Linked DNA regions of Oryzias latipes. The protein of the gene in region 1 interacts with the protein of each later gene in a pairwise test. Links are inferred from orthologs where the notes say so. Each region holds a gene or a part of one and is shown on either strand. Other genes may lie near its edges.

Evidence for each region.
Region 2: the proteins of sgta (region 1) and CD99 antigen-like protein 2 interact in binary tests that used the Homo sapiens proteins (3 or more experiments, as listed by UniProt). The two-hybrid records come from large-scale screens. The link is inferred for Oryzias latipes from reciprocal best matches to the Homo sapiens genes SGTA and CD99L2.
Region 3: the proteins of sgta (region 1) and syt11 interact in binary tests that used the Homo sapiens proteins (3 or more experiments, as listed by UniProt). The two-hybrid records come from large-scale screens. The link is inferred for Oryzias latipes from reciprocal best matches to the Homo sapiens genes SGTA and SYT11.

The regions. Positions count from the first base shown.
Region 1 is NC_019862.2:5,208,451-5,212,020, reverse strand, and holds part of sgta (small glutamine-rich tetratricopeptide repeat-containing protein alpha), read right to left. Parts: intron 2,306-3,570; coding exon 2,170-2,305; intron 2,102-2,169; coding exon 2,039-2,101; intron 1,959-2,038; coding exon 1,921-1,958; intron 581-1,920; coding exon 401-580; intron 332-400; coding exon 220-331; 3' UTR 208-219; intron 1-207. UniProt on the Homo sapiens protein: Co-chaperone that binds misfolded and hydrophobic patches-containing client proteins in the cytosol. Mediates their targeting to the endoplasmic reticulum but also regulates their sorting to the proteasome when targeting fails.
Region 2 is NC_019876.2:27,084,924-27,088,960, reverse strand, and holds the start of CD99 antigen-like protein 2, read right to left. Parts: upstream 2,824-4,037; 5' UTR 2,681-2,823; coding exon 2,623-2,680; intron 1,583-2,622; coding exon 1,526-1,582; intron 1-1,525. UniProt on the Homo sapiens protein: Plays a role in a late step of leukocyte extravasation helping cells to overcome the endothelial basement membrane. Acts at the same site as, but independently of, PECAM1.
Region 3 is NC_019874.2:31,725,295-31,729,531, forward strand, and holds the start of syt11 (synaptotagmin-11), read left to right. Parts: upstream 1-1,414; 5' UTR 1,415-1,638; coding exon 1,639-1,672; intron 1,673-4,237. Other genes in the region: uncharacterized protein LOC101164342, read right to left, coding at 526-577. UniProt on the Homo sapiens protein: Synaptotagmin family member involved in vesicular and membrane trafficking which does not bind Ca(2+). Inhibits clathrin-mediated and bulk endocytosis, functions to ensure precision in vesicle retrieval.

The DNA.
Region 1 (3,570 bases):
GTGGACATTATTATCTAGAGGTATTTTTGGAGTGAGGGGGAGGAGCTTATGATGTCGGGTGGGGTTAGTCAGTGATCTGCTGAGTGCACAGGACTGACTGCTGGAGCTCTTTAGCTCTTGATCTGGTCCACTTTTTCGTCTTGAATGGGTTTTCCCTTCAGCTTGCGGTGGCTGGTCTTTGTGTGCAGTGCGGCTGCAGCTCGGTACCTTCTGCGGGTGTCACGGCTGCTCCTCGTTCCCGGCACTGGGCGTTCGGTTGCGGATTTGATTCCTCAGCTGTTCGATGAGTTCGGGGTTCTGCTGCTGCATCTGCTGAGCGAACTGCTGCCCTCTGCAACACAAACAGCGGTCAGCCCTGGCAAGCTCTCCCTCCAGCACAGACCTGAGTGTGGGTACGCACGCCTGGATTAGCCCCGACAGATCTCCTGCTGCAGGGGCTGTGGGGGGTGTGGGGGCTGCAATGCCACTGCCGCCGCCGCCGCCGCCACCACCGCCTCCTCCTCCTCCTACTCCTCCTACTCCACCTCCTCCACTGCCGCCTCCCAACCCGCCATAAGCTCCAGACATCATCCCGGACATCCTAAAGAACAAACAGGTCAGCCCATAAAAAAAAAACAAAGATGTTCATTGAAAAGTCATTTGAAAAATTAAAAAACTGAAGGAAAATTACATCAGTGAGTAAAACTTGAACAGCTTTTCATTCTTTGTTCCTGCTTTTTCTGCTTTCTTTAACCCGGTTCGTGATGACAAACTTTCATTTCCAAACGGTCTTCAACCACATCTGTCGAGTTTCGGGCTCTTCGGTGGTTCCGTGTGAGAGCGGCCGAGCATTTACTCACCTCTGACCAATAAAAGCTGCTAAACGCTTTAATGGCTGCTGCTAACTTTCTTTTTATTTGGCCTTTCGTTGTACATTTTCGCTTGTCTGCAGGAGAACGCTCGGGGGTGCGTTTGGTTCGGTCAGACACAGGAAGTGATCGTCTTCTGAACTGAATGACTGACACCTGAAAATCTCTCATTTTCTGAAATGCTGCATATGATTTCAGAAACCAGAAAGGATCACATTTCTTTCATGAAACCAATGAAAAAATAAGAAAAAAACTAACTTTGTTTTTAAGTTTGAACTAAAAGCAACCAAATAACTTTGGATTCAGTCGTTGACCTGGAGGCTTTTTTAGAGGTGTGTGTGCGCGATGGGAAAGTCCGGATCAAGTTCTTTTGGGCTCCAATCTGATTCCAAGTCATTTGATTCTGAGAATCTGCTGATTCAGAGACCTGATCCAGTACTTTTGGAATCCATTTGAAATTTAAACAGATCCCGGTTTTCCCCGACTTGTATTTTACGTATTGTATTTTTCTTCTTTTGTTATTTAACACTTAATCAGAGCACTTCTGGGAAGTAGATTTATCAATCAAGTAACAATAGAGAAACTATTAACTTAGTTTGGCGATTGTAGCTTTAGAATATTCAGAACTATTGAACATTTTTGATCAGATGTGATTCATATCTCCATTTAACTATTGACAGCTTGCTTTAAAAAATAATAAAATAAAAATTGCTGTTGTGGCAAGAATATGATGATGAATACTAATGGCTAACTTGTGTCAAAGTAACCATTTATTGGCTTTGGTTGTTTTTAAGATCTCTCTCTCTAGATATGTATATAAAAATGATATGCAGACTTCTAGTAGAGCATTTATTTGAAAGTGCTGATCATAATAAGACTCCGCTACGATTCTACTTCAGTCTTGCTTGAGAGCAGATCGGGACATCTAGATGGTGTCTAGAGCGCGTGTGTGTGTCAGTGTGTGAAAGACAAAGAGGAAGAACAGAGGAATGACCTCTTCATATCAAAGTTTAACGGCAAATAGCTGGCCGCCATGGAGGAAACTGTAGAGGGAAGAAAGAGTCAGACTTACAGTTGCTGAACCTGAGGGTTGCTCATCAGAGAGGACGCCTGCGGACAGGAAGTGACAAAAGCATGAGAGACGAGCAGCGGCGCTTCAACCTGCCGACGTCGCACCGATCTGCTCTCACCATGTTCATGAAGCCGGGGTTACTGAGAAGACCGGCCAGGTCCACCCCGCCCATACCTGCAGTCTGACACACAACACAGCTTCAGAACCAGACCCCCCCCCGGACGCCGGCCAAACGCCCCGCCTCCTTACCGGACTGGACGTCTCCATCTTCTCCTCTGCGATCTTCAGGTTGGTCTTGTAGGTGTCATTGTCTGGGTCCAACTCCAGCGCCTTCTTGTAGTAACCGACAGCTTCAGTGTGTTTGTTCAGGCTGGCAAGAGCCAAGCTGTAACACAAACACGCAAAGACACACAAACTCAGACACAGGAAACAGTCCCCCTCAGAGTCAACTCAGAACTATAAGTCTTTCATCTGGTGGGGAGGGAGGGGCTGTAGTCAAACCTGCACACAGAGCCGCTGAGACGCACAAGCACTTTTTTTTCTTCCTTAGTACGGGAAACATTTGATTTCTTAACGCCGTTAAAACACGTCAACACATTAAAAGTTTCACCCGAGTTACCAGCAGCGCGTTTGCACAGCCATTCAGATCACGCCATGAGCCAGACAGTGGTGGAGACAGAATCTGAGCCAAAATAACCATTTCAAAGGCCCCCGATCTCTGTCCCAATAACAAATATCGGCACCGATAATCGGTCGACGCCTAGTTAAAAGCCCTGTAACAGCTGCAGGCCCAAAGCTTTGCGCTGTATGACAGAGAGCCGCATTCTGGCTCCTCCTGAGCGGGAACATGAAGGGAAAAGCGGCAAAAGGGAAACATTTTTACACAGAAAAAGGACTATGACCCATGAATCAGGCAATATCACAAAGGTGACCCCCTAACCCGTCGCTTTCGTGGAACAAAACCCCCGAACTTAACTAGTTGGGATTTCAAAACTAGAACTTTTTTTTTGTGCAAACAAATAACCTCTTTTGCAGAGGATTTTTATTCCATTTTATCAACAAAAACAAACAAAGAAACTTTTTGTAACTACTTGAATGATATCGAATTATTTTTATGTAAAAAAAAAAAGGGTTTTAAAAGTGACTAAAAAAATCCAAATTATTGCCCCTGTAGTGGTAAAACCGTTAACCTCTTCATTCTGCCTCTTGCATCATTTTCACGCATGTAGTGGCACTCTCTCTGTTCGTCTTTCTCTTGTACCACCGTTTGAAGTCTGTCCAGCAACTGTTATTTGAAACGCGAGTGAGACGTGTTCTTCATCAACTGTTTATTCCAAAAAATAAATAAAATTACACGAACAATGATTATTTAAATTAACTATTAAATGAAAAAAGTGCATTTGGCTTCAAATAATAACTATTAAATGCAGGATTCCAGATGTTTTAAGGCTGAAAAACTCCTCACTACACACTGTAGTCAGACAGAAAGGAAGATTTTTACACTTTTCTATTTGTTTACTAATCTTTAAGGTTAAATCTTCAAGGAAAAATACGTCCAATATAATAAAATACAAAACAAAGATCTCATCTAGAAGATTTCTGTCGATATGGAAATCTATATGTATCTGGACAGGAGACTCGGTACAGAAG
Region 2 (4,037 bases), on another chromosome or scaffold:
CTTTAAAAGAAACTTTTGCTTCATCATCTGGACAAAAACAAGCGGTAAGAGGTGAACTTTCTCTCTGAACTGATGCTTTATTTAACACATCGTGATCATCAGCATGTGTCGCTTTCCTTTGCCGCTGCGGTAGAGGGCACCGCCAAACGAGCCGCCTATGGGGGCGCGTTGCTATGTTAACCTGACAACACGCCACGTCACAAATAGTCAGTGTGATCCACAGCAGAAATATAACAAGAATAAAGTCCAAAACCTGGTTCAATATTTATTTCTTTTGTAAGTGACCATGGCATAAGCAGGTACATTTGAATCGTCCTCTGAGGAAAGTTGCTTCTCTGAAGTTCGTTCATTTCTGATAATACACACTTCGCCAACCATTAACCCTTACAGAAGACACTTCACACACGTAGAAGCGTGAAACTTTAACAAACACAATGCAACCTCGGACGCACTTAACATACTTGCAATGCAGCAAGACGCATGGATTTCCATGACTTTTAGTGCTGATCGCATGTAAATAAATGAAACGCATAAAAAATAATAGGAGAGTTTGATGTTATTCTTGTTTCCTTGGGAAACATTTACCAAGACCTCTAATGTGAAGTGGCAACTAAAACAGAAAACTCATATAAATGCTCATTTTGATCATATCATTAACCTAATTAACTAAATATTCATATATTTTTTTGTATATCTTTAATTACTGTCTGCCACAAGTCAGGAAATGTCTGAATTAATATAAATACTTGAATGATGTGATGATGATTCTTAGTTATTTTCACAGCGACTGTATAATAGAACTGGACTGAGTGAGCGTGATGTCATCCATCGAAGACGGATTACTTTTGGCTCCAAGTGAAGTCACTTCAGTTGCAGTGTTTTCGTGATACGGCCGTCGCCACGTTGGAACCAGACGAGCAGTGATTGGTCTAAGTCGTATGACCGGATTCCCAAATACTCTTTCCTCACAGCAGAGCCAAGCCTCAAATTTCTTTTAGAAATAAAGTATAGATTGTGTGTGCATGGGGTCAGGGGTCATATGTGTCAACAGAGGGGAGTGGGAAGGATGAAGGGTAGGATTTTGTTGTAATATTGTTTGTTTGTTTTTAATGTTAAAGTGCTTCAAGTTGCGCAATGCATGAGAATTGTATTTTTTTTACATAAATAAAGTTTGATGGTAACCCCTCTCACCGATCAGGAGTGAGCTCGTTGGAAATAAACACTCCTACCACTTGAAAGTGGGCTGCGGAGGATCTGTCAATCAAACGTTTGACGTGCGACCACATGCTTTTCAATTTATAACTTGAATAACAATTAAAAAAAAAGGTATCAGAGCAAGAATATTTGATTCTGACTAATAAAATGACAGTAACAGCTGCTTGTTTCTCTGTAGAAGTCAGTCTCTGGGAGTTTGGCTTCTTGGAGCCAGCGGGTACTTCCTGTTTGGAATGCCAGGGGGAGGGGTCACTCAGTCCAGTTCTCATGTACAGTCAATGTCCTCCCCTTGCACACGCTCAGAACTTACTTGGCTCGTCCTTCTCATCCAGGGCATCCGAAAGGTCGAAGCCATTCTGGGACAGAACTGAAGAGGAGAGCAGAGAAACACGTCAGAAAGACTCCACCTCTGCAGGTCCAGATGGTGCTGCTGTCCCACAAACACAAACGGACAGGAACGCCTGCAGCATGCTAATCCTCTGAATGCCAATGCTGCAGCGCTGGCATTCAGAGGACGAGCAGGAGCAGAGGCAGACAAAAACCCAGCAAATTCCACCGCCAACCCGCTGCAGTTCCACAACAACCGCGCACACGTTCCATCCGCAACGCGACCCAGGACACGTCTGTGTGTCGTGGTCTGTGTGTTTTGAGGAGTATCCCACCCAAAGGAGCAGCTGCTGGGACGGAGGGGGATTCTGAGTGCAGATTGACAGACTGCAGCTTTTGGAAGTACATCCTAAAGACTTAGAAAGGTAGTGAACGTGGTTTATTCTGGGGAGGACCCCTTAGGTAGGAATGTGTCTGTGGACCGCGGCCCAAACGTGAAAACGAATTGTGATGAAGGGCAGAGAAAATGAGAGCAGAAGTCTTGCTGAGGAAGACCTCACAGCAGAGAATCTGGACAGAACCGAGCAGACTAGAGTTTTTGGGGCCGGATCACAGAAGGAGGTGCAGCAGAGAGAGAGAGACAGACACAGGGAGGCGGGCGAGCTGCAAGACAAAGAAAGGGAGGCTGCAGGTGAAAAAGGGAGGCGGCCACGTCCCACACACGTGTGGTGTTGCTGCAGTCACAAGGAGACAGTTGCTTCTGTGCAAATGGTCACCTTTACATTCAGAGTGAAGATTAAATCACAGAAATATTACCATGCATGTGTTTTGTTTTTTCCCATGATCTGCCTCAGCAGCAGCAGGGAGCTGCCGGCTCAATACAAATTCATCCATGCCAGTCAAAAGAATCATAATAATTAGTAATAGTAATAGTAACGGGAAACAGAAGAACCGAGTCAAAAACCCAACACGTAATATAGAATAATAGAAGTGCCGCGTGCTTCCAGGCCGCAGAGGACCGTTATTCCCCCTGACTCACTGACTGCACGCGGCGCTTCACAAAGGCGCGTGCCGGCTCACCTTCCACGGTCAGCAGCAGCAGCAGCAGACACGGAGCGCGCGGGCGGCGGGCGGCCATCACTGCAGGCGGAGGATGGATGGATGGATGGATGAGGGAGGACTCAGTCTCCACACCTGTCTCTACAGAGGAGGGCAGAGTCAAGACACAATGGCCCGGACACGAGGGACACGCCCACACTGGGCCACTTCCGGTTGCCCTTCAAAACAAAACCAGAAAGCAATGAGACTGTATGTAAACAGTATTAAATCCTACACCGACAAAAAAAAGCTGTTATGACCGTTTAAACATGGTCTCTTTTGAAGCTTTAACATACTCCTGTGACTTTATTATGTTTGCTTAACTTGTTTTACATTGCTTTTATTATAGCTTTTTGACATTTTTGTTCATTTTCCTGGCAAAAGTGAATGTCTTTTGCACATAGTGTGGAGTGTCAATATTTGGTATTTTGTATGTGCAATATTTGTTAATAATAACAATTAAAAAAAATCTCAACAGAGATATAGAGCAGAACGGAAATGCCTCACAGGGGTTATTACAATTCATATTGAGACTATTTAACATTTAAAAACAACACTAATAAGAAATACCAGTTAACATTTGGGCCATTCATTCATTTTCTTAACCGTTTTTCTCTTTTGGGGGCTGCTGGAGCCTATCCCAGCCACTTGTGGGCGAAGGCAGGGGACACCCTGGACGGGTCGCCAGTCTGTCACAGGGTAGAACGTCCACAATCACACACCCATTCACTCTCACACTTAAGGACAATTTAGAGTTGCCAATTAACCTATGAAGCATGTTTTTGGACGGTGGGAGGAAGCCGGAGAGAACCCACGCATGCACAGGAAGAACATGCAAACTCCACACAGAAAGGTCCCCCATTGATGTTGTTTTTCACATCCCCCAGCCGGGACTTGAACCGGGGGCCTTCTTGCTGTGAGGCAAGAGCGAAATTTGGGCCAATGAATAATTTTTTGCCAAAAGAATGCCAGGAGTGTGCAAAGCAGTATTCAAAGCAAAAGGAGGGTATTATGAAGAACTAGAATATGACATATTCTCTGTTGTTTCACACTTTTTGGTTATGTATATAATTCCACGTGTGTTAATTCACAGTTTTGATGCCTTCGGTGTGAATCTACAATTTTCATAGTCATGAAAATAAATAAAACTCTTTGAATGAGAAGGTCTGTCCAAACTTTTGGTCTGTACTGTATTTATGTTAGTGTTACAATTTGTATCCACCAAACAATGAAATGTAAAGAGAAAACAGCATTTTTTCGAACTATAACAACAATAACTATAACTTGATTTGGTGCTTTGGTTAGCGCTCTTGCCTCACAGCAAGACGGCCTCAGGTTCAAGTCCCGGCTGGGGGATGTGAAAAACAACATCAATGGGGGACCTTTCTGTGTGGAGT
Region 3 (4,237 bases), on another chromosome or scaffold:
GTTTGGCTGATGGGTCAAAGTAAAGTTTGTTTTGTTTTATTGATCCACTCAGTGGATAACAAATGATGCCATCATTCTAGTATTTTACAGGTTGGAGTCTGCTTCTGCATTCACTCATACGTCTGAGTTTCAGGGGCAGCTCACACACAACAACATTTATTTAAGTCTTAAATTTACCAGAAAAAAGTCATAACTGTTAAATTACCAGAATAAAGTCGTATATTTAGAACTCTAAAAGAAGTAAATCCAAAAACACCAAAGTTGTCTGTTTATAGCTTGAAGATGAAAGATGTGGAGCATTTTGTGAAGCTTTATTTCTAGTTTTCAAAAACAAAGAAATTCTGAACCTTTTGGTTCAGATAATCAGATTATTATTAGTTTTACCACTTTCGCGTCCAGATCTGTTATACTTCCCTCAGTGAATGTCCCTGCTCAACTCTGAACAGGAAGATTTCTAGAAAGAGATTCTCCGTTTTGTGTCTCTGATAACAACAGCAGCGGTTTCTGAACAGATGTTGGTCCTACCTGCCAGGAGAACCTTGAAGCTCCAGACAATCACCAGCTGCTGGACCTGCATTCTTCCCTGCTCCTCCTCAGAGCTGAACCTCTGAGCAAAGATGAAGAAATCTGTGAGGCAGGCTTTAAAAATACCAAACTCAAACTTCCGTCTGTCTTTCTATACAGGAAGTTTTCTTTCGTAATTTCAGTTTTGGAGTCATAACTCTCAATGCTTAACATTTTCATTTCTGACTGACTTTGAATGTATATTTTTCACCAGAAGCTTTCAGTCTTTAAAAGAATGCAAACATCGAAGAAGTTGCACGCCAACAAAGTTCCTCAAAAATAATTCCATGACTTCCTTGTACTAATTTCTTAAAGCCCTTTATGTTTATCATTTTCTGAAAAGAATCTTAGCAAAGACATTTTTCTTCTTGCAGCTCTTTTGACAAACATCCGTTCTCAGAGACAAATCAACACATTGTTGATTTGAATGGTTTTTATTTTTATTTTCTTTCGCTCACATCTAAAGTAGTTCGTGCACATATAAGTACATTTCCTGTTTATTATCTAACACTGTTGTGACGCATCAGAGCTGCGCAGGTTTTCGCTCCCGCGAGGACCACTTCAAAGTCAAGAACGGTAGGAAGAGCTCTCACTCTGGTAATTATTCTGAAAAACCAAAGTTTGGTTTTAAACGTGTTTGATGCTAATTACGAAAGTTGCCTTTCTGTTTTAAACAATTGTATTACTTTCTGCTAGCATTGATTTTACAGTCAGTTTTATATTGTAATTTTAGTTGTTACGCAAAAAAACGCCAAACTAGCCGCGCAGTGACTCATCAGCTCTCATAGACGATCTTTGCCCAGTCTCATCGCGCGCTGCTCCGCGCAGCCTCCCTGCATCCTCGCGCGAGCATCACTGAAGCAGTGCTCTGGTCAGCGACTCCCGCGCGCCCCTCTGCTCCGCGCAGACGCATGAAGGCCGTCTCCCGGTAGCAGCGACTCCTTCCTCGGTGAATCCTCCGCAGTCGTCGCTCCTCCATGGATGTGAAGTGAAGGCGGACGGAATCCAGTTGCTGTCTCTTCCTCTTCCTCTTATTCTCACCGTCCAGACCGCAGAACCGCACCGAACCACAAAATGGCGGACATGGTGGAGCTGGGACCCGCCTACGGTGAGTTTTTTCAGCTCCATCGGTGCTTCTTTACGGTTTTTCGGTTAAAATGTCGCCTTGCTTGAGGTTTTTCTGTTTTCTGGAAGGTTCCGCCGGTAAAATACCGAGTTGCTCTCTGAACCGGCCCTGCTGTACCGACAGCACCGACCCGTTACAGCCCGGTGGGCCCGACGGTGCCTTTTTTCGCTGTCATTGATTGTATCACAGAATTTCAAGACAATTTTTACTCGGATTTAAATTTCATATTTATATTAAAACGATTATTATTCAAAACTTCACTTATGCAAACAAGTTTGTTTTTTATTTGACTTTTATTTTAATCTATATGTATTTTTGTAAAGAAAAAAATCGTTTATTTATTTAATTTTTTTACTTTTTATCTCTTAATTGTTTTTTTTTTAAATCGCAGTAAAAACTGTCAGTACCTTAATCACGCTCGTGCGCGCGCAGTCCGTTACTTGTGTGCGTGCGCGTGCCAGTAAGGGTGGGTGAGGGGTGACGTCATGTCTGTACTGTTCGCCTGAAAAGCCCACGCATGCGCAGGATTGTCGCTGCTGTCTCATTGTTCTCACAGTTCTCGCCCGTTTTACCGGGAGTACGCCTGAATAGACGCGGGGGTTCGGCGGAACCAGGCCCGGTTCTGTCCCGTGAGAAGCTGTGGATCATTGGGAACCAGGACAGTGTAGTTTCAGACCCATCAGTGGACACTGAACGCCCCGAAGTCCAACTCAAACAGAGAAAGAGTGATTTATAGAGTGGATCGGATAATGACTGGATCCTAGATGTAGATGTTTCAGCCAAAATAAATTCTCTCTAAAGGACATTTTAAGAAAAGAAAAGAGTTGCATTGTTTCTGACTGAGGTCATGTGACCGGCCCTGTGACAGCAGCTTTTGTCCGGCGGTTTCCCGGGTCTCTGGCCTGTCAAACGGGTCTCAGCTGAGCCTGAGTGCGCCTGTATGAGGGTTGCTAGGCAGCCGCGTGAGCCGCTTCCAGCTCTCCCCAGAAGATGACATCATGTGTTGGGAGCGCCAGTGAAAACAGCAACAGGGAGGTTCCTGCAGTCCAGAGCCTCAGCCGCTGCCCAGAGTCCAGATAGATGCCATGTTGCTACACCGCTAATGCTATGTGGAGAATGTGTAAACAGACAGCTCTCAGCAACAGAAAGGGGGGGGGGGGTTGCTCTGCGCCAACAGTCCCGCCCACAAAGAGGTCAACTTCTAATAAACTGGTGCTGCTCTGCAGAAACTATGTCCTAGAAAACGACACAGGATTTTAGATTTAGTCAAAACCAGAATAATCCTAGTTAAAAAAAAACACTGGGGACGATCAGAGGGGGGCTTTAATGTGAAAAAGACCCCCCCACCATGACGGCTGCTTTGTCTCAGACGCCTCAAAGTCTCGTTTGTTTCAGTTGCTGATATGTTACTGAGGAGGTTGATAGTGTGCAGGTTCAGGTCTACACTGTTGTGGGTCGTAGGTGTGAGGCTGCTGTGCTTCAGCAACTCCCCCCCTGAATGAGGCCTGTGTTTATCGCTGCAGTCGGGTTTCCAACAAGCCTCTTCTGTTCCCTGCAAACAAAGAGCTCCTCAAGCTTCTGCAGCTCCTCCTTCCTGTCCCACTGCAGCTCCTCCTTCCTGTCCCACTGCAGCTCCTCCTTCCTGTCCCACTGCACCTCCTTCCTGTCCCACTGCTCCTCCTCCTTCCTGTCCCACTGCACCTCCTCCTTCCTGTCCCACTGCACCTCCTCCTTTCTGTCCCACTGCTCCTCCTCCTTCCTGTCCCACTGCTCCTCCTCCTTCCTGTCCCACTGCAGCTCCTCCTTCCTGTCCCACTGCACCTCCTTTCTGTCCCACAGCTCCTCCTCCTTCCTGTCCCACAGCACCTCCTCCTTCCTGTCCCACTGCAGCTCCTCCTTCCTGTCCCACTGCAGCTCCTCCTTCCTGTCCCACTGCACCTCCTCCTTCCTGTCCCACTGCTCCTCCTCCTTCCTGTCCCACTGCACCTCCTCTGCCTCTCAGCAGCTTCACCTACTCTGGGTTTTCAGACAACCCCCCTGATGTCCCAGAGGAACATGTCACGTTTACTTCATCTACTCTGAGGCGGTTCTCGTTTTGGAACCGTTCTCCCGGTTCTGCTCACAGTTGGTCTGGTTTGATCAGAACCTTTCAGTGACTGCCAGTTGAGCTGTCCTCAGGTGGGATTCGGTAAAATCCACATTTTTCATTAGAGGTTCATTCCGGTTCTGCTCCTGATAATCTGGGTTTGGATCAGAATCCAGCCTCAGCAAGAACCTGGAGTCTGACTCTGTGTTTTATCAGACCAGGACCCGTTTCTAGGACGGTTCTGAATTCTCCAAACATGTCACCTTTAGTTCTAAAAGTGAAGCAAAAAGGCTTCAGGGTGAACCCAGGCCAAAATAAATGACAACCCCCCCCCCCCCCCCCCCCCCTAACTGAAACATGTCATCTTACCTGCAAATGAAAGAAAAGGCAAAGCAAAGACAAAACTCTAACCTCCCTAACCCAACAAAAACAGGAGAAAACATGTACTAAAGAAAATGACA